7 linked regions of the Xenopus tropicalis genome follow. The protein of the gene in region 5 purifies or fractionates together with the protein of the main gene of each other region. This does not show direct contact. Links are inferred from orthologs where the notes say so. Each region holds a gene or a part of one and is shown on either strand. Other genes may lie near its edges.

The links.
Region 1: the proteins of eftud2 (region 5) and ruvbl2 purify together in Homo sapiens (affinity purification with mass spectrometry; 5 studies listed by BioGRID and IntAct, with this or other methods). This does not show direct contact. The link is inferred for Xenopus tropicalis from reciprocal best matches to the Homo sapiens genes EFTUD2 and RUVBL2.
Region 2: the proteins of eftud2 (region 5) and eapp purify together in Homo sapiens (affinity purification with mass spectrometry; 4 studies listed by BioGRID and IntAct, counting the BioPlex papers as one, with this or other methods). This does not show direct contact. The link is inferred for Xenopus tropicalis from reciprocal best matches to the Homo sapiens genes EFTUD2 and EAPP.
Region 3: the proteins of eftud2 (region 5) and cdc5l purify together in Homo sapiens (affinity purification with mass spectrometry; 6 studies listed by BioGRID and IntAct, with this or other methods). This does not show direct contact. The link is inferred for Xenopus tropicalis from reciprocal best matches to the Homo sapiens genes EFTUD2 and CDC5L.
Region 4: the proteins of eftud2 (region 5) and sf3b1 purify together in Homo sapiens (affinity purification with mass spectrometry; 4 studies listed by BioGRID and IntAct, with this or other methods). This does not show direct contact. The link is inferred for Xenopus tropicalis from reciprocal best matches to the Homo sapiens genes EFTUD2 and SF3B1.
Region 6: the proteins of eftud2 (region 5) and ncdn purify together in Homo sapiens (affinity purification with mass spectrometry; 4 studies listed by BioGRID and IntAct, with this or other methods). This does not show direct contact. The link is inferred for Xenopus tropicalis from reciprocal best matches to the Homo sapiens genes EFTUD2 and NCDN.
Region 7: the proteins of eftud2 (region 5) and bcas2 purify together in Homo sapiens (affinity purification with mass spectrometry; 3 studies listed by BioGRID and IntAct, with this or other methods). This does not show direct contact. The link is inferred for Xenopus tropicalis from reciprocal best matches to the Homo sapiens genes EFTUD2 and BCAS2.

The regions. Positions count from the first base shown.
Region 1 is NC_030683.2:113,417,080-113,421,130, forward strand, and holds the start of ruvbl2 (ruvB-like 2), read right to left. Parts: upstream 2,801-4,051; 5' UTR 2,605-2,800; coding exon of another isoform or gene 2,556-2,604; intron 1,568-2,555; coding exon of another isoform or gene 1,512-1,567; intron 1-1,511. UniProt on the Homo sapiens protein: Possesses single-stranded DNA-stimulated ATPase and ATP-dependent DNA helicase (5' to 3') activity; hexamerization is thought to be critical for ATP hydrolysis and adjacent subunits in the ring-like structure contribute to the ATPase activity.
Region 2 is NC_030684.2:108,121,522-108,125,571, reverse strand, and holds the start of eapp (E2F-associated phosphoprotein), read right to left. Parts: upstream 2,801-4,050; 5' UTR 2,652-2,800; coding exon 2,578-2,651; intron 2,195-2,577; coding exon 1,995-2,194; intron 1,657-1,994; coding exon 1,555-1,656; intron 32-1,554; coding exon 1-31. UniProt on the Homo sapiens protein: May play an important role in the fine-tuning of both major E2F1 activities, the regulation of the cell-cycle and the induction of apoptosis. Promotes S-phase entry, and inhibits p14(ARP) expression.
Region 3 is NC_030681.2:148,162,113-148,166,293, forward strand, and holds the start of cdc5l (cell division cycle 5-like protein), read right to left. Parts: upstream 2,801-4,181; 5' UTR 2,606-2,800; coding exon 2,561-2,605; intron 1,703-2,560; coding exon 1,599-1,702; intron 438-1,598; coding exon 276-437; intron 1-275.
Region 4 is NC_030685.2:45,880,922-45,884,421, forward strand, and holds part of sf3b1 (splicing factor 3B subunit 1), read right to left. Parts: intron 2,827-3,500; coding exon 2,647-2,826; intron 1-2,646. UniProt on the Homo sapiens protein: Component of the 17S U2 SnRNP complex of the spliceosome, a large ribonucleoprotein complex that removes introns from transcribed pre-mRNAs.
Region 5 is NC_030686.2:17,862,544-17,866,537, reverse strand, and holds the start of eftud2 (116 kDa U5 small nuclear ribonucleoprotein component), read right to left. Parts: upstream 2,801-3,994; 5' UTR 2,750-2,800; intron 2,688-2,749; exon of another isoform or gene 2,664-2,687; intron 969-2,663; 5' UTR 958-968; coding exon 847-957; intron 1-846. Other genes in the region: ccdc103 (coiled-coil domain-containing protein 103), read left to right, coding at 3,100-3,150. UniProt on the Homo sapiens protein: Required for pre-mRNA splicing as component of the spliceosome, including pre-catalytic, catalytic and post-catalytic spliceosomal complexes. Component of the U5 snRNP and the U4/U6-U5 tri-snRNP complex, a building block of the spliceosome.
Region 6 is NC_030678.2:82,060,958-82,065,252, forward strand, and holds the start of ncdn (neurochondrin), read right to left. Parts: upstream 2,801-4,295; 5' UTR 2,642-2,800; exon of another isoform or gene 2,607-2,641; intron 808-2,606; 5' UTR 794-807; coding exon 677-793; intron 1-676. UniProt on the Homo sapiens protein: Probably involved in signal transduction in the nervous system, via increasing cell surface localization of GRM5/mGluR5 and positively regulating its signaling. Required for the spatial learning process.
Region 7 is NC_030682.2:7,012,579-7,016,377, reverse strand, and holds the end of bcas2 (pre-mRNA-splicing factor SPF27), read right to left. Parts: intron 2,862-3,799; coding exon 2,769-2,861; intron 2,309-2,768; coding exon 2,238-2,308; intron 2,105-2,237; coding exon 1,943-2,104; intron 1,820-1,942; coding exon 1,769-1,819; intron 1,504-1,768; coding exon 1,423-1,503; intron 911-1,422; coding exon 790-910; 3' UTR 501-789; downstream 1-500. UniProt on the Homo sapiens protein: Required for pre-mRNA splicing as component of the activated spliceosome. Component of the PRP19-CDC5L complex that forms an integral part of the spliceosome and is required for activating pre-mRNA splicing.

The sequences.
Region 1 (4,051 bases), on a different chromosome or scaffold from region 5:
CAAAAGCTAGACATCATGCCAAGATCCAAAGAAATTCAGGAACAAATGAGAACAAAAGTAATTGAGATCTATCAGTCTGGTAAAGGTTATAAAGCCATTTCTAAAGCTTTGGGACTCCAGCGAACCACAGTGAGAGCCATTATCCACAAATGGCAAAAACATGGAACAGTGGTGAACCTTCCCAGGAGTGGCCGGCCGACCAAAATTACCCCAAGAGCGCAGAGACAACTCATCCGAGAGGCCACAAAAGACCCCAGGACAACATCTAAAGAACTGCAGGCCTCACTTGCCTCAATTAAGGTCAGTGTTCACGACTCCACCATAAGAAAGAGACTGGGCAAAAACGGCCTGCATGGCAGATTTCCAAGGCGCAAACCACTTTTAAGCAAAAAGAACATTATGGCTCGTCTCAATTTTGCTAAAAAACATCTCAATGATTGCCAAGACTTTTGGGAAAATACCTTGTGGACCGACGAGACAAAAGTTGAACTTTTTGGAAGGTGCGTGTCCCGTTACATCTGGCGTAAAAGTAACACAGCATTTCAGAAAAAGAACATCATACCAACAGTAAAATATGGTGGTGGTAGTGTGATGGTCTGGGGTTGTTTTGCTGCTTCAGGACCTGGAAGGCTTGCTGTGATAGATGGAACCATGAATTCTACTGTCTACCAAAAAATCCTGAAGGAGAATGTCCGGCCATCTGTTCTTCAACTCAAGCTGAAGCGATCTTGGGTGCTGCAGCAGGACAATGACCCAAAACACACCAGCAAATCCACCTCTGAATGGCTGAAGAAAAACAAAATGAAGACTTTGGAGTGGCCTAGTCAAAGTCCTGACCTGAATCCTATTGAGATGTTGTGGCATGACCTTAAAAAGGCGGTTCATGCTAGAAAACCCTCAAATAAAGCTGAATTACAACAATTCTGCAAAGATGAGTGGGCCAAAATTCCTCCAGAGCGCTGTAAAAGACTCGTTGCAAGTTATCGCAAACGCTTGATTGCAGTTATTGCTGCTAAGGGTGGCCCAACCAGTTATTAGGTTCAGGGGGCAATTACTTTTTCACACAGGGCCATGTAGGTTTGGATTTTTTTTCTCCCTAAATAATAAAAACCCTCATTTAAAAACTGCATTTTGTGTTTACTTGTGTTATCTTTGACTAATAGTTAACGGTTTTTGATGAGCAGAAACATTTAAGCGTGACAAACATGCAAAAGAATAAGAAATCAGGAAGGGGGCAAATAGTTTTTCACACCACTGTATGTAATATGGTTTAGAACAGTTCCCTTAGCCCTGCCCCCTGTTCTCCTGCTGATCTGGCTGACAAGCCTGCCTTCAGCCAGCATACTCCAAATCCCACAATTCCCTGCACATATGATGTTAAATTTACTTTTAGAAGGAAGGACAGATCGACACGTATCCAATCTGCCACTTGCTTGTCTAACGCTAACCAGTGTCATTATAAGCAAAAATTCATAACCATTCATATTATAGTATTAGAGCGCTTTCAGTACCTGACGGGGTTCCAACGCATCGTCAAGGCCAAGCCCTCTGATGTGAGAATGTGCGCCTGGCAAAGAGAGACAAATGTTAGACTATATACACAAAAATAAGCAGTTAATAGGTAGGAAACACAAAACACAGACTAATTTTAATGTGTTGGATATCTTTTGTATTAATCTATACATACCCAGACTACCTCATACAATTAATATGCACTGTTACACGTGCTAATGCTAGGATGCCAAATGCAGAAAAATAAATGTTTTACAGCTGGATTTCAGCATATAAAATGGTATTTATTCATACTTTTTAATGGAACAGATTACAGGGATAGGTATATTAGGGGTTTCTGTGTTGTGTGGGGCTCTTTAACTAATTTTGGCTTGGAAGCCGCTGTTTGATTTAATGGATATGGAGGTGAATATATATTGTCTTAAGCGAGTTAGAGAAAAACATAAACAGACACTGCTTTCATTTGCAATTACATGTACAAATTGTTTCCTTGAAATATTTTATTATTTGGATATTTGTTAAGCAATATATATGTTTTATTTTATCATATATAGTATATATATATGTTATCAAAATAATCTGGCACAGAGCCAACAGCTTGACCAAAGTGTAGGAAAAAAGGCACTGTGGGCATTCCTTATTAGCAACATATTTCTTACTTTAAACAGGCAAAAAATTATGCTCAGCACTCAAAATTTTTGAAAAGGGGTGTATAATGCGCGTTTAAAATTGTTGTTGCAATTAGATAAATAAAATTAAACACATTTGGCTTGAAAGTAAATGAAAATAGTGATGGAACTTTGTGATGCTAATGCCTGGGATTGCAGCAAAGTTACAACCCTCTGTAGCTATTTATCACCAAGGAGACTGTTTGTTGATTAAACTGCACTGCTGCCCATGGAAACAAAAAGTGTCACGATGCAATGGAGGTGAATACATGAGTTCTAAAATATTCAGTTATTTGAATAGGAGGGCTACATGGGAACCACATCATGTTTAGCAGGTTATTTTTGTGTTTATTTTTGTAGTATTTTTACACTCACCAATCCTCTCAATCCGGGTGACATCTCGCACCTCTGGCACCTTGGTTGTCTATGAGACATAAATAACCATGAATATTGATCACGGTTTCCTTTAGACATCAATGCATGAAATACTAATTACAACTCAGCAGCAAAATAAATGCAGGAGACATTGGCTTATAAAGATTCACCAATGTTTTCTACAGAATGTGAGATTACCTCTTGAGAATTCCAAATGTATTTGCCCCACCCCTGCATGTTGTGAGCTGAACATTGTTTTTTGTCCACCTCATGCCCATTTAGCCCTACCTTTATATAAGAACAACTGCAAACTGCCTCGGCCTATGCCTGTCATTACCATCCTAACAGTCTGCCCTAAGGATCTTCCCCGTTAACAAACGGTTTCCTAGTAACAAATCAAGGTTGTTTGCAAAGCAAATTCTCCAACAATAGGATACGGGATGGTAAGAACCAAGGCAAACTGTCCTGCTATAGGATACCCAAAACACACGGGTAATTCATGGAACTGGAGTCATTTTACTCTTATAGTACTCAAGAGCAACTACATACACCCCTGTCACACCAGGCAACACAAGCCATCTGACAGGGAGTATGATGTGAAATAACAGCTCAAGCAGGTGAGCAGTTTATCTAATTGAAAGGATTTACTAACATTTGCACTAAAAATCTGCCTTATTCTGGACAATTCGTAACCAGGAAGCTGTTTTTTTTTTTTTTTTGGTCATACAAAAAAAGATGGGCTAAACTGGCAGACTGTCTATCCAGGAACAAGCAAAACAAAGCTACTGAGACTAACACCGTGTTAAATAATTCATCCCCAGAGGCCCAGAATATTCAGCATACCTCTGCCACTACACCACAAGCAACCCCCCTAGCTACTGCATGGCTATATCCAAGGATGATGGAAAGGCTGGAGGAAAGCATCTTTGGTCTACATTGCATTCAACTATAGAGTAATTAATTTGCTTACCATGAACCAACACTACTGCTCCATATAAAAGTGGCCATACACACCAACACATTTCACAGAGGGGGGAATTTACAAACAGATGCATGCCCTACGGTGATGCAGAACCCCATGGCAACCATAGTTCAGCTTTTTGCAGTCAACTGAGCAGAATGCTATGGAGTAAATGTTTCAGTTCTGGTGAGGCTGGCTGCACTAAGAGGCCTGAATATACTGCATAGAAACAAGAGCTCTTTTTCACTTTCCAATAATGATAAAGGAATGAAATCTTACGCCATGTAACTACAAACCTGAACCTATGCATAGCCACAGGAAAAGTATCTCATATCTGTTATAGGCTGTTTCTCTGGAGCTAGTGTGTAGATCTGGGTTACTCTTTTATATGCAGTGCCCCCTATACCCCATTTGGCCTGGTCAGGTTCCTGCTGCCTCTCCCTGGGCACTATATGTTGACTAACATAGAGCAAAACTGTCCTGATGAAGTAACCTATGGCAACCAATGAAATACAAATGTTTGCTGTAAAGAGGA
Region 2 (4,050 bases), on a different chromosome or scaffold from region 5:
GGCTTACGCCTCTGCTTGTTCTTTTGAACAACTGTAATACCACAGAGATAGATGTGAGAAATATATACAGATGTGTACAGTCTATGCATAAACAAATCCCTAACAGATAAGTGACAAGAATAAAAAATGGGAGTGAAAAGCACACGCAAAACAATTTTACACTATAATACAAAATGAAGCAACAAGTGACATTTTTTTGTATTTGTCATGACTGCCCATTCTACCCTTTACCAAGCACACCACCCTTTACTAACTTTAAGATAAGTTGCACACATGCCAGCTCATGTTAAGCGACAAACATTACAAAGAATACGTAGAGAAAGTTATATAAACAGCTGCAAACCAGATACAACATGCACATAAACAACCAATGAAAATATAAGTCCCAAGATGGTGCACAAGAAAAGCCCTAATTAAGGGGAGGGGAAGACAGTGCCACTAATATTATGTAAACCTTAGAGTAAGAACCCACGGAGCAGTATTGTCGCCTGGGGGGGGGGGGCAAACCAATTCGAAAAGGCTTTCCACTGGAAACAACAGTCGCTGGTGGAAAGCCCTTCGCATCTCTTCGTTTTCCGAAGTTGCCTGCAGGAGGAAACTTTGCGCGACTTCAGATTACCGAAGCATTGTGAAGGGCTTTCCCTGGCGACTCCTATTGTTGGCAGTGGAAAGCCTTTTTGGAGGGGTTTGTTGCCCGCCATAGCAGAGATCTATCACAGACGACACAACCGCTCTGTGAGTTCTTACCCTTACTTTACTTGTAAAAGTCTAGGACTGTTAAGGAATTGCTGGGAAATCTAAGCAAAATGGCAAAGCTATGCTACTTCCCCCCCCCCCCCCCCCCCCTTGGCTGGTGTATTATTTCCACCTAAAATGCACTGGGGATAAAAACTTAGCATCTAAATACACAGGGATGGTGGAGAAGGTGCCTAATTGTATTGCCATTTCCCAATGGATAAGGCTTTCTTTGTCCTTGAAAACATTAACAGAAGTCCAAATCCTAGGGGTGTAAATTTGCGAGGCACCTTTTTTCCATTACTGGAAAACCTGGTGCTCTAAACAATGCCAATCCTGGTACTGTATAGTGGTGCAGTAGCACATCTTGCCTCCTCTCTCTGGGCTCAACATGACATCATTGCTAATGAAGCATAATCTGATCTTAATCTTAAATAAAATGCTTACAAGATCAGGATATCAGGTGCCAACTGGGGTAGGTGCCTCACAAATTGGCACCCCACACCCCTGAATTTTTGAGCTGTGTTTTCCTTAACGGTGCCTAGATGCTTCCCAGCATTTACAATTCATCCATTAAATAGAATGAACTGCACTTTTGGGTCTTTAATGGATAATAAAAATACCTTAAGATCTCACACACACACACACACACACACACACACAATTATATAGGAATATAATTATATAATATATACAAGAGTCTACATTACATCATGACTTATCTGGTACTTAGTGACTCTATACATAATATTTAAAGAAAAAAAAAAAAAAAAAAGAAAAAAAAACACACAAACTACAGCACTTAACAGATGGATCTACCATTGGAGCTTTCATCATCTGAATCCGAATCAAAATACACATCATCGTAATACTCGGGCTTAGTGGAATTGGAAGTTGTAGTGCCACTACTTGTGGATGCAACTGAAATACAAAAAGGAAAAAACATACAAGTGGTCAGAAATGGGCTTGTGTATAGAATATTAAACTGTACCGAAAAATGTAAAATAGTATATATAATGCTATATAACTCCACAGCCAAGACTTTAATTCACATAGTACATTACACTGGTTACTGTGCAGTTTATTCAGCTAAATAAGACAAAAAGGGACAAGAGGAGCATAAAATAAAAGTAAGACCCTCAAAGGTCATTATCCTATACAGAGACACCAAGTTATATTATTTATCAGACTTCATGTTAAATAATAATAAATCCCTAGTCAGATCTAACCTTAATAGGAATATATAAAAATTAAATCACCAAATCCTATTAACACACCGGGGACAGCCAGCTGCCAGCTTCCCTCCATGGTCTTCATTTTACAGCTCAATTCATTTTCCATTTCTTTCTCAAATTCGTCATCGCTGGATGATTCGCTTTCTCCGGTTAGACACTCACGGATCAACTTGCGCTTCTGATCAGGCGTCCCGTGTAAAAGCACATCTAGTTCATCCTCAGAGCTTTGAAAGGGATTATAAAAAGAGAGAAGGGCGTTACAATAAGGTGCTAATTTGTCTCAAATACTCGTAAAACGTGGAAATGATGGCAACAAGGCAGAATTGCAGGCACTTTCCAGTCTGTGTGCTAGAAGCCTAAAAACCCTGTAATCTATGTGCTATTACTCAGAAAGAATATATGTATTTAAGCGTAAATATGAACGTTTGCATTATTAATAAACATAAATGAACCCTAAAGGGTATATTTATCATGCAGTGTAAATGCTCATAGCAGCAATTGAAATCTAATTGCTGATTGGCTGCTATGAGCAACATCACCAGTAATGCTTCACTCCACTTTTTACACAGCATGATAAATATACCCCTAAATGTATAGATAGATTTACCTGCTATTTGCTGGCTCCTCATCACTGGGTTCTTCTATGGCATAAGAGTCGTAGTCAGACTGTACCCGCTCCATGGTAGATACACTGCATCAGAGAGGGGCTATCGCCCTTTCCCGGACAGTATCGGCTTTCTTAACTCGACGCACAGGCCAGCGACGCGGCTAAATTCTAGCTCCTTCCCTACGACAGGAGAAACAATCCACGGCTAAAGGAGCCTCACCGCGCCACACCGTGACGTCATACGCACGTATCTAAACGTAGTGACGCCGGACGCCGCCGTGCAAAGTGTATGGCGGCGCCTAGTACCCAGTTAAAAAAAGTGGGCGGCCTTCCCCACAGATACCTGAGCTGTCAAGTTGACAAAGTCTGCACTTCTGCAGTCTGTACAACTAAGTTGCTGTGTAGCATGTGCGCAGCCATTCAGGAGAACACGTTACCTAGCAGATGTACTTTGTAGGCTAAGAAGATTCATGCGTTAGAACTAAACCCAATGTATTCTACACTGCTTATCTGTAATGGGCTAACGCTATGTAACCCGCACTATTTAGAACTAGTTCATACTGAATTGATGCAGTATGGCAACACAGCAGCTTATTTACACGAACTATAGTAGGGGTTCTCAAGCAAACATATCAGTTTTTACAAGTGCAGAACAACTGAACGTTATATTTTATACATGCTTTAATTGGTGTTTCTGTTCCTTTAATGGCAGTGTACCTACAGTGTTTAGCGCCAAAAAAGAACATCCTGTGCATAAGTGACATCAACAGGGATTTTTCCCATGCTCAGTGATGTCACCAGGTCCCCAATATGCCACACCCACAATTTTTGGTATCATGTTCCTTGGTTTCCCTGCATAGAATGTGTGTTTATAGAGGCCAGATCCTCAGATATAGTATATTCAGTGCTCAGACTACTAATGGCAATTAAAGAAATCAGTTCTAAATTTTAGCCAAACCATTATCCTAGCCCAAAACCTAATATCCCAAAATAAAATACACTTTTCTTGATATGGAAAAACTTATATTTTGTCGGCTAATCCTGGCCTAACTCTAAACCTAATATCCCCAAATAAAGACCACTAATAGTGAATTTTATTTGTATACATTTTTTTTTGTTAAAATCTAATCTAACCCCGAGTTTATTCCTAAATCGTATGTCTCAAAATAAACTACATAAAACCAAAACTATTCCTATGAACATACACATAAAAAAAACAAATAAAAATGTAGCTTTAGTGTGCATCAAACCCAGGACTCTAGCATTATAAAGCAAGCCCACTAACTGCACCATGATTCTGCTTGGTAACCATGGTGTGTTAGAATATATATGAATATGAAATAGGGACCTAGCTCAGTGTTGGATTAATGTCATGCGAGGCTCCTAGGTTACACTTTCCACAGGCCCCCCCAGGCTACTCCCAACTATTATAAAAATGTAGTACTAACTATTACAAAAGTAATACACCTGGCC
Region 3 (4,181 bases), on a different chromosome or scaffold from region 5:
AAATTACTGGTCCTTTAACTAGCAAATGCTATGGTCAGAATCCCTAATAATCAGGTTTGGGCTGGTAAACTATACCTCAGTATGGGGTAAAAACAAGCAAAGGACACAATAGCGATTAAGAAAAAAACCCATATCAAATTCCTCTTCTGGTTAAGGGTACAGTTACTTCTTGCCTGATAGAATGGGAACGTATTCACACTGCTGTATCAGAAAACAACTGTTCAAACTGCTCAACAACAATTCAAATGTACATTTTCAGAATGAATGGTACGTACAGTAAATATTCATAGTGCTCAAGGCACTGGGCGGCTGTTCTTCCTATGATAGGAGCGATTGTCCTCCACTGAGTTGGCATCAGCTTGGCCAGATGAAGTAGTTTCTCCTCTTCTTCTCGGGACCATTCTGTCTTTTTGATGCTTGGGTCAAGCCATTCATACCTGTCACAGAGACATTAAACGAATTTAGCAACCAATGTTACTACAGATATTCAGAAGGGCACTTGGTAATTGTTAGCTTGTCTGCCAACAAATCTAAGTGAAAGCATGGAACTTAATTTGACTGTGATATCACTCTGTTTTTTGTTAAAGAGCCCCACACAACACAGAAATCCCTAATATACCTATCACTGAAATCTGTTCCGTCAAAAAGTAAAAATAAATACCATTTTTATATGCTGAAATCCAGCTGCAAAACAGTCCTTCTCTTTCTGCATCATTTGAAATCCTGGCAGGGGAGAAGGGACTAAAACACTGATGTTACAGATTGTAACAACTTCTCCACAGCTTACAGACAGCATGCAGGAACTACATAACCCACAATGCATTGCACTAGGATGTTCCTTTCCTTATTGACATCACGTGTGCAGCAGGGGATTGTGGGATTGGGAGGATGAAGGCTGAAGGCAGGCTGGGGACAGGCGACTACTGTTACATTTTATTTGAGTCACAAAGTAGCCAGCCAGATCAGCAGGGGAACAGGGGGCGGGGCTTAGGGAACTGTTCCAAACCATATTATTACATTAAAAACCATGAAAAGGCTGCATACTTTTAATTGATATATACTGCTTGAAATTATGTTTACTTTTTAAAAAACTTAAAATACTTTAAATGCTCATAGCAGAAGATTACACACTGAAACAATTTCCTAAATGTTTTCAGGGTGCAATATTGGGCTAATATATCAATATGTATGTATATAGGTATGTATGCATGTACATAGGTATGTATGTAGGTAGGTATGTATGTATGTATTGTAGCAATACATATTGCTACATGTATGTATACACATTTCTTCAAGGTGCATTTCTAGGTGTAACCCAAATTATCATTATTTATATAGCGCCATCAATATACGCAGAGCTTTACAGCCCAATGTTCAGTCACATGACCATGCCCTTCATTACAGACAATATGGATAGACTGTCAGTGCATTATGTGCATGTGTAACCCTTTCCATGCCTGCTTTGCCCATTCTCTTTACCCCCCCCCCCTTCCACCAATGCAGAATACCAGCTGTTGCGGGGCAGTTTATCTGGTTTCATATTAGAACAGGAACGTATGGAACGCTACGGGCCCGTGGCTATAATGGCCGGGACGTACCATCGGGCTTTGCACTGTTTGGCCGATTTCCTGTGCAGCAAGGAAGCAATACGAGACCACTGGTTTTTCCCATATTTCATAACAGCCGCTTTGAGGATTTCATCCTGAGAAAATAAAGAGGAAAGTGCGTTATAGTATATCAACACCACACATGAGAAGTGAGGGAGACATAGGGTACAGGGGTATCTTAGTATGAAGCAAAATGCATATATATATATATATATTTTTTTTTTTTTTTTTTTTTTTTTAAAGGTTTTGATGGATTTCCCTTCCCCTCTGTCCCTATCCATCTTTCAAAACGTAGGGCACTGAGCCCAATTTTATTTTTTTTTACTTTATATTACTTTTCTATTTAGACCATTCTTCTATTCACCTTCCACACCACTGCTTAGCTGCTAGGATGAAGTGGACCCTAGCAACCAGATAGCAGATGAAATTCAAAATTGGAGAGCTGCTGAACAAACAGCTTAATCATTTAAAATAAAAACCCCACATTAAAAATGAAGACTGAGACTATAATGCAAATAGCTAAGGCATAACCCCCAGTGGCTGCAGTCCATAGCAACCAATTGACAACCAATGCAATCTGCTGATTCGTTGCTATAGGAAAACACACCTTGGTTGGAATTCGATCACAAAACAATCTGGCGAGCAATGGGATGCTGGGAGTTGTAGTATAAGTTGGCCCACCTATATTGGCTTTCTCTACAGGCCATAGAGGCACATTGAACTAGTTACCTGCACCTAAATTACACTATTATTTCCTATAATTAAGCAGCTCAGCTTCACTCAAATACTCCTGTGCAATTGGTCAGCTTTACAATCCTGAAACACTAACAGGGAAAAGGCCAAAGCACAAGCTGGGACCCTGTGAACAACAACTCCCAGAATCCCCTGTTGGAAATATCAAGGCGCCCATGTGAGTTCATTGAGCCGCTACACAACGCCATAACCCCTCTCACCTCGGTGTTCCGCCACACCCCGCCTTTTATCATAATTCGCGGCATCCTGGCTGCTGGTTAGGGGCCCCGGGCCCGCACGGTGTAGCAAGGAGAGAAACGGGGAAAGCGGCCTCCGGCTTGTTGTGCAAAGTGACGCGCACACACACCAGCGTGCCCGCCGCTCTACTGCTAGTCACAGCGCATAGCGAACATACAGTAACTCCCCACAGCGGCCTCTGGTGGCTGGAGGTTAGCATTGCATGCGGAACAACTGCGCCCTTAGCGGTAGCGGAACAACATTTACCAGAATTCCCCGGCAAGTGAGAGGAATTCCCTGGCAAGAGAGAGGAGAGGCATTATGGGAGTTGTAGTTTATCAGCTGCAATAGTGTGAAGTAATTGTAAAAGTGGTAAAGGTAAGGTTAGGAGATACCCTTTATTAGTTAAGTCACCTGAGTAAGTAAACATTGCAAGCTTTGGAAGCACCCAGGCTATTTCAATGGCTAATATGGTAGAGGTTTAGGACCTGTTATTCAGAATGCTTAGGACCTGGGGTTTTCCTGATAAGGGATCTTTCTGTAATTTGAATCTCCATAACTTACGTCTGCTTAAAACCATTTAACCATTAAATAAACCCAATAGGGCTGTTCTGCCCCAATAAGGGGTAATTATATCTTAGTTGGGATCAAGTACAGGTATTGTTTTATTATTACAGAGAAAAGGGAATCAATTAACCATTAAATAAACCCAATAGGGCTGTTCTGCCCCCAATAAGGGGTAATTATATCTTAGTTGGGATCAAGTACAGGTATTGTTTTATTATTACAGAGAAAAGGGAATCATTTAACCATTAAATAAACCCAATAGGGCTGTTCTGCCCCCAATAGGGGTAATTATATCTTAGTTGGGATCAAGTACAAGTTACCGTTTTATTATAACAGAGAAAAGGGAATCATTTAACCATTAAATAAACCAAATAGGGCTGTTCTGCCCCCAATAAGGGATAATTATATCTTAGTTGGGATCAAGTACAGGTACTGTTTTATTATTACAGAGAAAAGGGAATCATTTAACCATTAAATAAACCCAATAGGGCTGTTCTGCCCCAATAAGGGGTAATTATATCTTAGTTGGGATCAAGTACAGGTACTGTTTTATTATTACAGAGAAAAGGGAATCATTTAACCATGAAATAAACCCAATAGGGCTGTTCTGCCCCCAATAAGGGGTAATTATATCTTAGTTGGGATCAAGTACAGGTACTGTTTTATTATTACAGAGAAAAGGGAATCATGTAACCATTAAATAAACCCAATAGGGCTGTTCTGCCCCCAATAAGGGGTAATTATATCTTAGTTGGGATCAAGTACAGGTACTGTTTTATTATTACAGAGAAAAGGGAATCATTTAACCATTGAAATAAACCCAATAGGGCTGTTCTGCCCCAATAAGGGGTAATTATATCTTAGTTGGGATCAAGTACAGGTACTGTTTTATTATTACAGAGAAAAGGGAATCATTTAACCAATAAATAAACCCAATAGGGCTGTTCTGCCCCAATAAGGGGTAATTATATCTTAGTTGGGATCAAGTACAGGTACTGTTTTATTATTACAGAGAAAAGGGAATCATTTAACCATTAA
Region 4 (3,500 bases), on a different chromosome or scaffold from region 5:
CCATGAAATAATAGGTGTGAACCGTACACTGTAGATTACTTCACAGTGTTTAGATTGTTAAGATGACGAGCAAAGGGAGATACGAGTTGGTAAAATAACAGTATATTCAAGAGTGTAATAAAGTGCAATGAACATGGCTATCAACAGAAATTCACACACCAACACAAGCCCTGGAACGTTTATTTTTTTTTCTACAACCTACTTCCCTGGTGCTGAACATATTCTAAGGACTGTCAAGGATAATTGGAATATTTTACAAACTGATAATTGCAAGAACCGGGCATAGGCTTTCGCAGAGGATGCAATCTTAGAGATATGTTGGTCCATTCTATTCTTCCTCCAGCAAATCCCCCCCAACAGAAGGATAACGTGGGTGCTACCGCTGCCCTAATTGTACTGCTTGCCACAGTCTTATAACTGGTCCTTCTTTCGCACGTCCACAAAATGGCAATTGCTGCTACATACGTCACTATCTTATCTGCCTGTCTGATTTTGTCATATATTTCATTACATGTCCCTGTGGCATGTACTATATTGGGAAAACAAACACCTCTTTCAGGACAGGATGGCAAATCATTGCATTAATCCCCAATTCTCCATTAAGGAAGCTCTAGAGAAGGGCAGTTCTAAAACACCTGTAGCTAGACACTTCCCTGAAAAGGGACGTGCATTATATTCCATGAGATGTATGATGATAGATCACTGCCTACCCTCACCCAGGGGTGGGAACAGTGCTCAGCGTATTCTACAAATGGAATGTAGATTGAACAATCTGTAATGTACTAAACAAAGTCAGCTACCGCTGCTTCCCATGAGACTTATTCTACTACTGTAATGACAATTACTGTTAATATGCATATGCTACTACTGGTATCTAATATTTCCTCTTGACGTGATATGAACATAGAACATGATCTAATTTTCTATAATATTGGTTATGTGGATTCTACTTAGGATTTGCTCAGCCACTGTCTCCTCTTGATATACTGTTGACAACTTAATATGACCATGGCTCTATTAGTTTCTTCCTTTTAATTTCCTTTTTTCTCTTCTCTCCCCTTTCTATCCCTGACACCATGGGTTACTCTGACCTAAACATATTGTCATCTAAACCGGCGATTAGGCAGCCCTTAATTGCCATGATACCTCCAGTAATGGGCTAACCTGTGCCTCATCCATTGCTTTTATTTCTCTGTGATGCAGCTTCTTTGTTGTTATATACTCTACTATCTGAGCCACGAGTATGCCACTACTAATGTGCCGGGGCATTGCCGCGAGTATGCCACTCAATGTGGATTATTTATACTATGGTCTTCAGTCTATGGAACCTTTTTCATGCAAAGTAGTGCTCTGGGGCACCCCTACTGCTCAGCATGGATATTCATGATAACTATACAAGTCTGCAACCCCAAGTAAAGTGCTGCTCTCAGCCATTGTGACGGTTTCCTCTCAGGAGGCTGATCATATATTTTCTTTCCCAGGATAACCGCATGACACTGCAGTGTTACAAATGCTGCCATTCTGCTAACCTATGCCTGGGCTGAAGGCTCTTTACGTGTTACTTCCTCATTTTTCCTCATCTATTTTTAAAGGAACAGTAACACCAAAAAATGAAAGTGTTTTAAAGTAATTAAAATATAATGTACAGTTGCCCTGCGCTGGTAAAACTGGTAAGTTTGCAACAGAAACACTACTATAGTTTATATAAATGAGCTGCTATGTCAACACGGGGGGCAGCCATTGAAGCTGGGAAAAAGGAGAAAAGGCACAGGCACATAGCAGATAACAGATAAGCTTTGTAGAATATAATGGGGTTTTATCTGTTATCTGCTAAGTAACCTGTGCCTTTTCTCCTGTAAATGGCTGCCCCCCGTGGCTACACAGAAGCTTTATTTATATAAACTATAGTAGTCTTTCTAAGGAAAACACCAGTTGTACCAGTGCAGGACAGCATTACATTATATAGTAATAACTTTTATACACTTTCATTTTTTGGTGTTACTGTCCCTTTAAGGCTCTCTTTTTTCCCCCTCTTCCACTTCTTCTTCTTGCCCATGGGGTTATATGATTTTATCTACCATTTGGACACCCAATTTTATAGCACTTTATATGCACTATTGAATATATTTTACCTACTCGTATCTCTCTTTGCTCATCACCTTAACGATCTCCACATGGTGATGTAATCTACAGTGTACTCCTCACACCTATTATGTCATGGGGTGGGTCTTTGGTGTAAATTTTCAGCCACTACTGACTATTTCAGTTTGTTTCGTTTGGGGAACTGTTTGTGATGTCTTGATAAAGGTCATCTGGGTAGGATGAAACGTCGACTTACACCATTAAAATTTTGCACAATGAGTGCTCTGTTACATGTGTAAATATGTATATCTATGAGTATGTGTTTCAGCAACCATGTTTTAGGGCAGGTGTCGAGGCAAACTTTTATCAGTATATTGGATGTATACAATTATGTTAGTATAAAAAAAAAAAAAAAAGAAATGACATGGACTCCAAATTTTCTTACATGTGACCTATCTACAACACAGTGATAACCTTAAGAATGGGTTGCAATGCAGGGGTTAAGAAATAATGTACTAACAGAAGTAAAACAAATCTAAATAAATACAGATAAGCAATTCATACCTTATGTACATACGGGCGGACCAAGTCATCCAATTTATACAGAATTCTATCAATGACTTTTACAAGTAAGTGTCTTTCTTGATCTTCAAGTGTTGGTGACATCAACAGGGGCAGGATCTGATTGAATAGTGGACCAGCTCCAAATTCACGAGCTTTATCAGTTATTTGTCGTAAGGCAGCCTAAATTAGATTAAAAATGTGACAACTTTAAGCAAGATATTTCACTATGCATATCAAGTTTTAATGTTATAACAATGAAAAAGCTTGTGTGCAGATGCCCAAAACAATGTATAACATTTTTAGCCTACTTCTTTAGTTAAGCTTTAGTTCTTCCTGATGTTTGTTTTTTTTTATTTCTCCACTGGCAGAAAAAAATACCAAAGGTCCTCTGAAAAAAGCAAATCAGAAAAGGGGAAGCCTGCAGAAAGTACAACTATATTCTCTAAAGATATTTTAACGGCATTTTAATTATTTGCCTATTTCTGAAGTTTTAAAAACTTTGGTTGGAGGGGTTAGTGCCCCAGTGGGAGGAGCTGGGGGAAAGATTCATTATGAGGATACATTTTTTGTTTTGGGTTTGGTTGAATTCTTTTAAAATTTATAATAGCTTTCACTGACATTTTTATGAATCATAAACCCAACTTACTTACAAAGCACAGAAGGATGGGGTTGTGGCAGTGGGGTAACAACTCTGCACCAGGCTCACCTTCAGAAGGACCTAGCGCAGAGTAGCAAACACCTGGCCCCCTCTTCCCACCTCTCCCTTTGCACTGACATGTCTGCCCAGATTTGTTTGCATATAAACCCCTGTTCCCACCTGCTCTCCTACCAGAGAGCCAGTGGTGAGTGGAAAT
Region 5 (3,994 bases):
CCATGCACCATGGCATTGTATAAATGCCATCAGGGGATGGTATTTCTACAATGCTCAAGAAAGCATGACATTTATATTTAATATGTGTCCAGTTTCTTTTGGTAGGGTATTTGGTGGCAATTTAAGAATAAATATTATCTGAGAGTCCGATAAACTTTTATAGACTTAGTGAGGCTTTACATTGACAACAATAAAAAAAATAAATCAACTACAATAAAAACAACAAGGAAAGGCAAAGTCACTTGGGGGTGCCAAAATGTTAGGCACCCTCAAGTGACTTTAACCGCATACCTTGTACCCCGGGCTGGTGCCCCTGTTAGGAGAAAATTGCACCAGCCCGGGGTACCTGTAGCGAGCGCTTCCTCCTTCCGTATTTGCGCTTCAGGCAAATTCCCAGGACAATCGCATGCGTAGTAGAGTGAAAAGCCGACTTTATAGTTTAAGTTCGTCTTTTTCACTCTACTGCGCATGCAAGCGAAGCAGGAAGGAGGAAGCGCTCGCAGCTACCCCGGGCTAATGCTATTCTCTCCGAACAGGGGCACCAGCCCGGGGTAAAAGGTAAGGTGATTTAAGTCACTTGGGGGTACCTAACATTTTGGCACCCCCAAGTGACTTAGCCTTTCCTTCTCCTTTAACCCATGCAATGCCATAAATATAGGATCCATGGCACTTGCATGATGGTAATTTGGTGTTGTGCCACATATTCTCTGGTGCGGGTATATAAAGGGACTAACAAAATTGTTGTTCTATGGTAGGCCCTGATTAATACATCTTCATGTTTTTGGCTTTATTGTTACAGAGGTCTCATGTGCAGGCCATGTATGTATGTAATGAGAATTGCCTTACCACATCCACATCCCTGTCATCTCTCCCCATGTCATCGTCATCATTATCATCATCTGAATCCAATTCAGGCCCAATGTAGTTACCAAATTCATCGTACAAGTCAGCGTCCATTTTAGCTGAGCCTTATTTTAAAATATAAAAAAATAAATAAACTCACTGGTCAATGACAGAATCCCCACCACAAATACACACATTAAAGGAATACTCTCTTTCCTTTAAAAAAATAAAAAAAATCAAGGTTTCGAGGCAACTTTTCTTTAAAGTCAGATGAAAGGAGACCCAAGGAGCCATTATCTATTGCCAGCCTACTTCCCCACCAGCAGCAAACAGGCTGGTGTTTATTAGCACTGCTTTGCTCACTGCCTATCCATGCATCTGCCCAACTCTATCCACTCCCCTTGGACGCTGGGTTGTATGCAACATGTTATCTCAGAAAGTGAATACAAAGGAAAGGCTACTCACTAATGTTCTTGCCGGCAACTGTTAGCAACAGTTATAACTGTTACCTTAAAATCAAGAAGCAATTATTTGTATTGGGGTAACAGTATAACAGAATAAGGTGAAAGTAGAAATAAAGGCAAATAGGATCATTCTACAAGTGAAATATAAGCCAGAGATGAATTATGACTCTCTACGTTCCACAGCCACAGTTAACCTTAAAGGAACAGTAACACCAAAAAATGAAAGTGTATAAAAGTAACTAAAATATAATGTGCTGCTGCCCTGCACTGGTAAAAGTTGTGTGTTTACTTCAGAAAGTCTACTATAATTTATATAAATAAGCTGCTGTGTAGCCATGGAGGCAGCCATTCAAAGAAGAAAAGGCACAGGCACATAGCAGATAACAGATAAAACACTATTGTATTCTACAGAACTTATCTGTTATCTGCAATGTAACCTGTGCCTTTTCTCCTTTTTTCCAGCTTGAATGGCTGCCCCCATGGCTACACAGCAGCTTATTATATAAATTATAGTAGGGTTAAGCTGGCCATACACGCACCAATACTATTGTACGAAACCCCGTTTCGTACGATATTCGGTGCGTGTATGGCATGTCGGCGAGTCAACCGATATCGCAGGAAGCTGCTGATATCAGACGACTCGCCGATCGGCCAGGTTAGAAAATTTTGATCGGGCGCCATAGAAATCTGCCGTCAGGGCTGAATCGGCAGAAGGAGGTAGAAATCCTATTGTTTCTACCTCCTTATCTGCTGTTTCAGCCCTGACGGTGTGTGGCGGATCTGACATCATCAGATCGCCACGTGTATGGCCAGCTTTACTGTAGCAAACACACCAATTTTACCAGTGCAGGGCAACAGTGCATTATATTTTTATTACTTTAAAGCTCTTATTTTTGGTGTTACTGTTCCTTTAAGCTTTTACCATAATACAGACTGATGTAGTCTGGCCAACTGGAGGACTGCAGGTTGGACATCCCTGACATAATTAGCAGCTACAGTAGGGTATCCATCATTCTGCTCTAATGTATAAAGCATAAAAGAGGAAGGCTTATGCCATACACCCAATGGCCCAACACCAAATCAAGGGTACCCAGGTAATGTGGGGGTTTACTACTTGTCACATCATTGCCCCTGGGTTATCCACCCCAGATAGGACACCATAAAAAATGTACTTTTACTGCATTACACCTAGAGGAAAAAAATGGCAAAAACATTACCATTATTTGAAAACTTTGCCCAGATTAAAAAAAAAAGGGGGGGGGACTTTCCCTTTAATGCAATATGGCAACACAATAAATGTAGTTAGCCGTGCTGCTTCCTACACCCTCTAGCAACCCAGCCAGGCCCTGTGCTTACTGTATATCCACCTAAAGGTATCAAGCGAGATTCATTTCTAGCTACAAGGAAAATATCCCGTTTCCTTTCCATTCATTGCAACTTACCCGCTCACGCCGCTCTCACACACACAGACACACGCCACTTCCTGCGACAAGGCCACGAAGGACCCCGCACGTCGGCTATACGCTTCTCAGCGTGCAGTACTCGCAGGCCTTCAAAGTTAAAACGCCCTTTCCTTTTTATGACTCAAATGAGGCTACATGCTAGCAATTGTCATAATGTGCAGTTATACCTAGAATTGCACTAATTTCATATGAAACTTGCAATTTGATCAGGCACCCTGTTAAACACCTATTCAAATAAGCTCGCCTTTAAAATACGTAAAGGACCTAGATGTTTTCTGATTGGCCAACAACAGTCTTTGACGTTCGTTCGTGTGATTGGCTGATACGAAATGGAACGTTTCCATAGGAACGGAGAAGCGGAGGCAGACGGTGAGGAGCAGGTAGGTTTGTATGGCGCTTTCACTTGCTGGATTGCGTGCAGTTTGCTTAAAAGTACATATTCCGATTTAGAATTGTTAGATATTTTCAGGGTATGCACCTGAAATCTCCAACCTGCTGCACTCCAATATGTTGAGTCTAAGCAGGGCCGCTGCTGGCCAAATGGGTGCCCTAAGCAGAAATGTACTTTTGTGCCCCCTCCCCCAAATATTACGGAAGTAAAAATAAAATAATAAAAAAAACACCTACTATAGGGGCCCCACTAACAGTGCCCCCAATTGCCCCCATAGACACTGCCCCCATAGACACTGCCCCCATAGACACTGCCCCCATAGACACTGCCCCCATAGACACTGCCCCCATAGATTGATTGAACTATCTGGGACAGCGGGATGCGCTATAAAAACCGGCGGGACAGTGTTGGGGGTATGTTATAATATATAAAAACGATTTTTTTGAGCAGCAGGGATGGTGCCTCCCTGGGAGTTGGTGCCCTATGCAGACTACATACTCATAGTTACATAGGGTTGAAAAAAGACCAGAGTCCATCAAGTTCAACCCATCCAAGTAAACCCAGCACACACAACCCACACCTACCAATCTACATACTCACATACATAAACTATAAATACAACCACTAATACTAACTGTAGATATTAGTATCACAATAGCCTTGGATACTATGCTTGTTCAAGAACTCATCCAAGCCCCTCTTAAAGGCATTAACAGAATCTGCCATTACCACATCACTAGGAGGGCATTCCCCAACCTCACTGCCCTCACCGTGAAAAACCACCTACGCTGCTTCAAATGGAAGCTCCGTTCCTCTAATCTATAGGGGGGGCC
Region 6 (4,295 bases), on a different chromosome or scaffold from region 5:
TACCTTGTCCTTTAAAGAATAAAATGAATGCATAAAGAAAAAAGTAGTTTTACAGTACATAATAATCTTTTGTTAAAAGAACATAACAAATACCAGTAAAATTTCTAAAGCACTCTTGGCTTACTGGTTCCTGTATACGAAAAGACAAATAACCTATCAACCAATATCTGGCCAGGGATCACCAAATAAATCAGAAAGGTTTAAAAAATACCAGTAGCTGAGGAAGTATCAGCCTATGAATGTGATTCTCTCTAGGTAGCATAGGTCACTGTTACAACACTATCACTGGCTTGGTAATGACCAAATCCTTCAAAGATCTGGTCATTTGAACATCCTCACCACTTCTAATCTACTAGAAGTAGATTATATAGTTGGAAAATACAAGCTGATCGAGTAACTGCAGGGCACTCCAAGTTAACGAACAAAAACAATTTACATCAAATAAACCCAACCAAACTCTCCCCCCCAAGTCGAAAAGCTTTGGATTTATTTAATGTAAATAAATATTTTTTTTGTTCATTAACTTGTGGTGCCCTACAGCACTCGATCAGTTTGTGCAACAAACTAGCACTTCATACAATTTAATTGCATGTGAATCAACCAACTAGTAATCACTTGCTTAATGCAAGTGGAAAAGTATATTTACATTTTAGCACAGTACAAACACCAGTCTCACCAGAAGCAGGGCAGCAAACTGTTCACTGTCAGTCTGTGCTCCTTTCAGAACCTCAAGACATTTTTCCAAAGCAGGATTCTTGACCTCATTACTTTGTTTCTCAGCTGTATCAGGCATTGTGCTTATTAGACCTGTAAAGACAAAAAGAATGCATACTAAACCTTTAGAAAAAAAAAAAAAAAATTAAAGATAAAAAGTGCTACATTCAGAAGAACAGTACCTCTAAATAATCAAAAAGTGCTAAAAACAGAAATGCTTTACTATATATATCTATTATTAAATATTATATAGTATTTTAAATCCAGCATCCATCAAAATAAACCCCTCCACCCCTCAAAAAAAGGAGGGGATATGCAATAGGCTTCTTGTGTCTGCCACAACCCTAATCTGAAGGTAGATTAAGAGGGGGGAGAAGTTAAAACACAGGTGGGATGTATTTCCTGCATGTTCATTTCAGTGCCTGCGATGCATAATTGTCCCCAAACATTGGCTGCAGTGCCCAGCATCTCTGAACTAATAAACCAGGAGCTAGGCGAACTGGGATTTAAAATAGGCCCTGGCATTTCAAGTACATAGTACCCTACCAGTCCAATAATTAGTGACTGTCTTTGGAATTTTACAGTGACCCCTTCGGCAATTAACAGAATCCACAAATTGCCAGTCTGGGCATGTACAGGAGACTCGCTCATTACACGCATGTGACCAAACATGGCCATCCATCCTTGGAGCTTCATCCTGGGGCAGGTGGTATAGGGCTTGCTAGGGTCATTCTCTGACCAATTGGGGAAACAATTTGGCCATGATAGGTGCCTTGTAAAGGAGAACTACCCCTTGCTTTCCTTTCATGAAATACATTTCTTGCTGCTGGAACAGAGCTGATTGGTAAACAGTTTGAACATACTTAGATTGTGAGCTTGGCCCACCAATCCTAAACTGTTAAAGGGGTGGTTTACAATTAAAGTTAATTAACTTTTAATATATTATAGTATGGCTAATTGTAAGCAACTTTTCAAAAGGTCTTCATTATTTATTTCCTATAGTTTCTGATCTATTTGCCTTTATCTTCCAACTCTTTGCAGCTTTTAAACGGGGGTCCCTGACCCCAGCAGCCAAAAACCTATTGCTCTGTGAGGCTACAGTTTTATTTTTATTGTTACTTTTTATAACTACTTTTTCTATTCAGGTCCTCTCCTATTCATTTTCCATCCTCTCATTAAAACTGCTCTCTGGTTGCTATGGTAATTTGGACCCTAGCAAACAGATAGCTGCTGAAACTCCAAGAATCAAGAATCCAAGATGGGGAGCTCCTGTGACAACTGTAACGACCTATATCATTACTACTATAGAGATGCTGAAACTTTAAGCCAGTGTAGTCAGTTTATAATATAAAATATGGCATTTCTACCCATATTCATTTTTAGGGTTTGGTTCTCCTTTTTAACTAAAAAACTACGAAAAATAAAAAAAAAATGAACACCAATTGCAAATTGTCTCAGAATATTACTCTCTACATCATACTAAAAGTTAACTCAAAGGTGAACAACCCTTTTAAAATACCATAAGACCCTTGTTTGTTAAATGATTTTAAAATTTAAAGCGCCGCTGAAATGTTCTAGTGCTATATAAATAAATAAGATAACAGGAACCAGGACAGATTTTGGCACTGACAAGAACCTGAACACATAGCTATTAATCCTGAAGTATGTACAAATAATAGGGAGGTTCTTCTTTAATTAAATAAAGTGTCTGCCAACCACGGCAATAAGTGCCAGCCTGAGAGCCATGTGCTTAGCCAGCCAAAACAGGCATGCGAAACGAACGGGCCCCTGTGCATATCACTAAGTTCCAGATCTGTTTGTTCCGCGCTACTGCAATAGACTATCGTAACACCGTGACCCTGTAAATCTTTAGATTAAACCTCTATTAATACCTCTTACCAGGACCGTATAACAACCAGCTACTCACAATGCGCTCTGACAACTTCCACCAAGACCGCCCACTACCCAACTTCCTAGTCTTGCGCCTTTTGGAACGCCAGCCAATTGCCTGTTTCCGTTTCTGGACAACTACCAATCACATTGTGAGACCGCATCCCGGTGCGGCTGTCATGGTGACGGACGCCATGCTGCGAAAAGAGCAAGTACACCCGAGTATCCGGGAGCCAGCGCTTCCGGGAGGAGGAGCTAATATCTGGGTACAGGGGGCGGGTTCAACAGAGACTGATCGGACAACAGGCACAGGTAGTCGCTAATGGTATTATAGTGATGCGTTAATATATATAAGATATATGAGAATTCTCTCGAAACATATAGTTTCATTGCGTGCGAAGGTTAGAAGTACTAGTACCAGCACATTACAGCGCATTCCCTATACTCGAGTTTTTCTTACAGCTAAGATAAATCTACATTATTGCTGCTTCCTATGGGTTTGAATATGTGTCCACACATACATATATGGATATTGATAGCTTTGTAAATACTGTCACGATCTGTTGCACTCACCCTGCATGAATAACTGCATGGCCACAAAGCGCTGACCTAGTGAATGTATTTAGCTGCTTTCACATGCCTCCCATTCTATAGGTGCTACACATTTTAATGTGTGACTGTCTGTAGTGTGTGTATATGGAGTCCAAACACAAACAATTCATGAGCACTACCTATTTATCTGTTCATTCATATTGCGTGGCCACTAAACATTGTTAGTGTATACCTGATATGTAGTAGATGATGTAATGTTTATCATTGCTTAGTGGTGCTTTGTGGTATATGTGTGTGACATGTGTCCTATGGTGATGAATAAATGAAGATACTAAAAGCAGGACTGCTATCAAATTCATGGGTGGAATGTATGGGATTTTTGGCCACTCAGAAATACAAAAGGTGGCCCTACACAATTGGTGAAAGTTTAGTATGACCCCAGTCCCTGGGAGTAGGCAAGCTATTTTTTGACTGTCTTTTATTGATATTATTATGAACGCTTATTTATAAAGTGCCAACAAATTCCACAGAACTGAACAATAAATGGCTACATATAAAAACAACCAATAACTGATACAAGAGGTAAAGAGGGCCCTGCCCAGATAACTTAGGGAGAAAAGTGTTTTTCATTGTGTAGAGAAAAATATGTGCCTTAATTAAAGAGTGTAACCTATAAATTTATGTCCTATAAGTGACTTCATTTACAGTAGAACCCTAATTTTTGACCCATATTTTAACTCCCCCATACAGGGAGTTTTTTTCCCTCAGATTTTAGGTTTTCCAAGAATTAATGCCATTTTGATGCCACCCCCTGGGAAATGTATAATCAGGATGTATTTATAAGTCAGCATTCTATAGAGATGTATGTCCTGACAATTGCTGTTGTTAAAGTTGTTTAACCTTTAATATGGGTACTAAACACACATTTACAATAATTGTATTGTGGGTCTGGCTTTGCTGGATGGTTTTTTTCTGTGTAAACTTGGGGCATTTACCCCTGTGGTCGATTTCTCTTGCATACCGCCTGTGCATCCAAGCGTCTGATGCAGGTGAAACGCAACTTGATGCGTACCGCCTGAGTTTAATGCTGTGCACCTGTGTCAGTATGTGCCAATGTGGAAGAATGGGCTGCATTTTGT
Region 7 (3,799 bases), on a different chromosome or scaffold from region 5:
ACTTCTTTAGTTTCCATGCTATTTGCAGTATTCACACCAAGTCAGAGCCAGACAGATAGGGGAAAAGTTTCATTTGCTGATGCTGGAAGTGTCTCTGGGCTCAGTGCTGCTTGTGTCTCCGCCTGCACAGAACAGCAGGGGGCGCTCCTGTTACACCTTCATGATATTAACATTGTAAAAACAGATGAGACCCAGGAGGAAGGGCAATGCCAGGCTTTCCCACTGTATCTCTATGGCCTATAGAAGACAGTTCATTGGTTTTTACGCTGATTTCCTCTCACTGTTACACACATGACCCGTTATCTGTCGAAGCTGCCCATGTGGGAAATCCGTCCCAGCTCAGAACATACCTATTTCCCTCTGGTGAGATCAGGCACTTGTGCAGAGACGGGGGTGCTATCTAATATATAATGGTGTGCCCCCACCCAGGCCAGGGTTACGGTTGTGTGGGGTGCTCAGTACAGACCCCCAGGAGCGCACAGGATGATAAAAGTGGAAGATTTCTGGAAAACACTTTATTATTAATATTACAGTGAAAAACAAGTCAGAATTTCCTTATAAAAGCCGGTATGTGCCCGGCCTACGAGGCAGCACTGGGGCATTTGGGTGAAACAGGGAGACCCATCCCTGCGCCTATCAGCACCCAGGCAGAGACTACTCGCTACATTTCCAGAGTGAAGAGCCATAAAGCAACCAGAACCCCCAGCAGCGCTGCCCAACATGGCGCCAGAGTCTCTGCAGCAGGACCGGTGCTGTTACCCTGGAACCTGTAATCCTTGGGGCAGGGCCTTAATAATCTTCAATATTTTCCTTATTCTCCCCGCTCCTCTCTTTCAGCTGATAGACTTCATTCTCCATTTGCACAATTGCTCTCTCAATCTCGTAGTTTTTGCTCACAAGAGACACCCACCTGCAACCGGCACAGAAAGCAAGTTAGAGACAGACGAAAATGACTACCAGTTCTATTAAAGCTAAAATATTAGCATCCCATAAATACCATACACTGTACTAAGCACAATTCAGCAGGAACAGCCCCCTAAGTTTGCTCATAGCCTGTACAGAGAGATACCATAAAACTATGGCACATAGGGATTCCCCTGTACTAAGCACAATTCAGCAGGAACAGCCCCCTAAGTTTGCTAATAGCCTGTACAGAGAGATACCATAAAACTATGGCACATAGGGATTCCCCTGTACTAAGCACAATTCAGCAGGAACAGCCCCCTAAGTTTGCTCATAGCCTGTACAGAGAGATACCATAAAACTATGGCAGCATAGGGATTCCCCTGTTCAGCAGGAACAGCCCGCTAGGCACACTCAAAGCCTGTGTGTACTTCATTCATGGAAATACAGTATAGGGGAGTAGGTATTCCCTTGATAAGTTCACCCTAGGTGTGAACAAAATGCACAAATCTCACTTACGTTGACTCCATCTCTCTGAGTCGGGCACCTGCTGTCAGCTGGGAGTTCTTTCTCTGCCAGTTCAAGTCCTGAATCTTTTTCCTGTTCCGGTAACAAGACAAATAGTGAAAGCGTTAGAGCTGTTAAAATGGAAGTGTGCAACTGCTAGTAATACCCCAGGGCTAGGAACTACCCCACGTAGGTAACTCGAAGCTCATCCCAGTAATTACACAGGAACTGAGCTCTAAATCTCTGCACTTCCTGCTTCTGGGCTGCTCTCTTCCCCACGGCCAGGGAAGGATTATATATATATATATATATATATATATATATATATATGGTTAGTATGGGCTTAATGCCGTCTCACCGTAACTTCTGGAGATCTTTCTGCGCGCAGTCGATCATATGCAGCAGGTTCCTGGGAGGAGACAGAAGAATCACGTGACTGAAGGGCGGCAGTATCATTGGGTCATGCTATATCCTGTGCTGTAAATCAACACCCCCCCCCCCCCCCCCCCCCAACGCCATGTTCCCAACTCACTCGTTATAGACTTTCCAGGCGTTACAGCCGTGCTGGGACATGAGCTCCAGGTTCTCTATACGGACGGCCTGGTGTTCCAATTGGGCCATGGAGTTATTGACACATTCCTGCCACGCGGTGATGTCGTTCCTCTGGCCGGATAGGGGGGCCGGTAACTCATACCTAGAATCAGAGAGAGGGGTATGGTATTTCCACGGATACCCTTCAGCACAATGAGACCACATGGAAACCACAGGGCTGTAAAGCAATGCACAGATCTTGGTCCAGTAACCCATAGTAACCAGACGGCACTCACCTCTTCATGCTGAGCAGTTCGAGGGGCTGGCGCGACGAAAGTCTTTCAAACTCGTTCCTCATGATTTCAGTCTAAATAAAATGAATGAAAGTTGGAATCTTGGTCTCCTCTGTGAAGGGAACATGCCCCCCACCCACGTGATATTAGCACCAGTAGGTGCCAGGGTGGGCTCTGTGCATGCAAACCCCTCGGGGTTATGGGACTATGAAAGCAATCTTTGGAGAACTGACAGACATAAGGACGAGTAGTAGCAGAATGAATAATGAAGTATTAATATTTTGCAGAGATATCAAGTTGCTAGGGTCAAATTTACCCTAGCAACCAGACAGTGGTGTGAATGAGTATAGGGGAGGGGCTGGATAAAAAGTAACAGTAACAATAAAATTGAAGCCTCACAGAGCAATAGGTTCTTAGTTGCCAGGGTGAGTTCTCTAGCAGGGAAGCCATTTGGTTGGCCAATGTGCAACCACCGTGAATAGAGCAGAGGGGCACCCAGTGTAGGGTGCTGCAGAATAGGGAGAAAGCCATTACCTCAAATGCGGAATAGTCGGGGGTGGGCAAGTAACTCAGGTAGTTCTTTGTAGGCCGATATCTTCTGGTCTCCTCTTCCACCAAAGCTGCAGCCTGAGAGCAACACAGACCGGTTATTTACAGTAGAAATGCCCCCAATGGGAGTCATGTGACACACAGGGGCAGCACAGACCGGGTATTTACAGTAGAAATGCCCCCAATGGGAGTCATGTGACACACAGGGGCAACACAGACCGGGTATTTACAGTAGAAATGCCCCCAATGGGAGTCATGTGACACACAGGGGCAGCACTGACCGGGTATTTACAGTAGAAATGCCCCCAATGGGAGTCATGTGACACACAGGGGCAGCACTGACCGGTTATTTACAGTAGAAATGCCCCCAATGGGAGTCATGTGACACACAGGGGCAGCACAGACCGGGTATTTACAGTAGAAATGCCCCCAATGGGAGTCATGTGACACACAGGGGCAGCACTGACCGGGTATTTACAGTAGAAATGCCCCCAATGGGAGTCATGTGACACACAGGGGCCGCACTGACCGGTTATTTACAGTAGAAATGCCCCCAATGGGAGTCATGTGACACACAGGGGCAACACAGACCGGTTATTTACAGTAGAAATGCCCCCAATGGGAGTCATGTGACACACAGGGGCAGCATTGACCGGGTATTTACAGTAGAAATGCCCCCAATGGGAGTCATGTGACACACAGGGGCAGCACTGACCGGGTATTTACAGTAGAAATGCCCCCAATGGGAGTCATGTGACACACAGGGGCAGCACAGACCGGTTATTTACAGTAGAAATGCCCCCAATGGGAGTCATGTGACACACAGGGGCAGCACAGACCGGGTATTTACAGTAGAAATGCCCCCAATGGGAGTCATGTGACACACAGGGGCAACACAGACCGGGTATTTACAGTAGAAATGCCCCCAATGGGAGTCATGTGACACACAGGGGCAGCACAGACCGGTTATTTACAGTAGAAATGCCCCCAATGGGAGTCATGTGACACACAGGGGC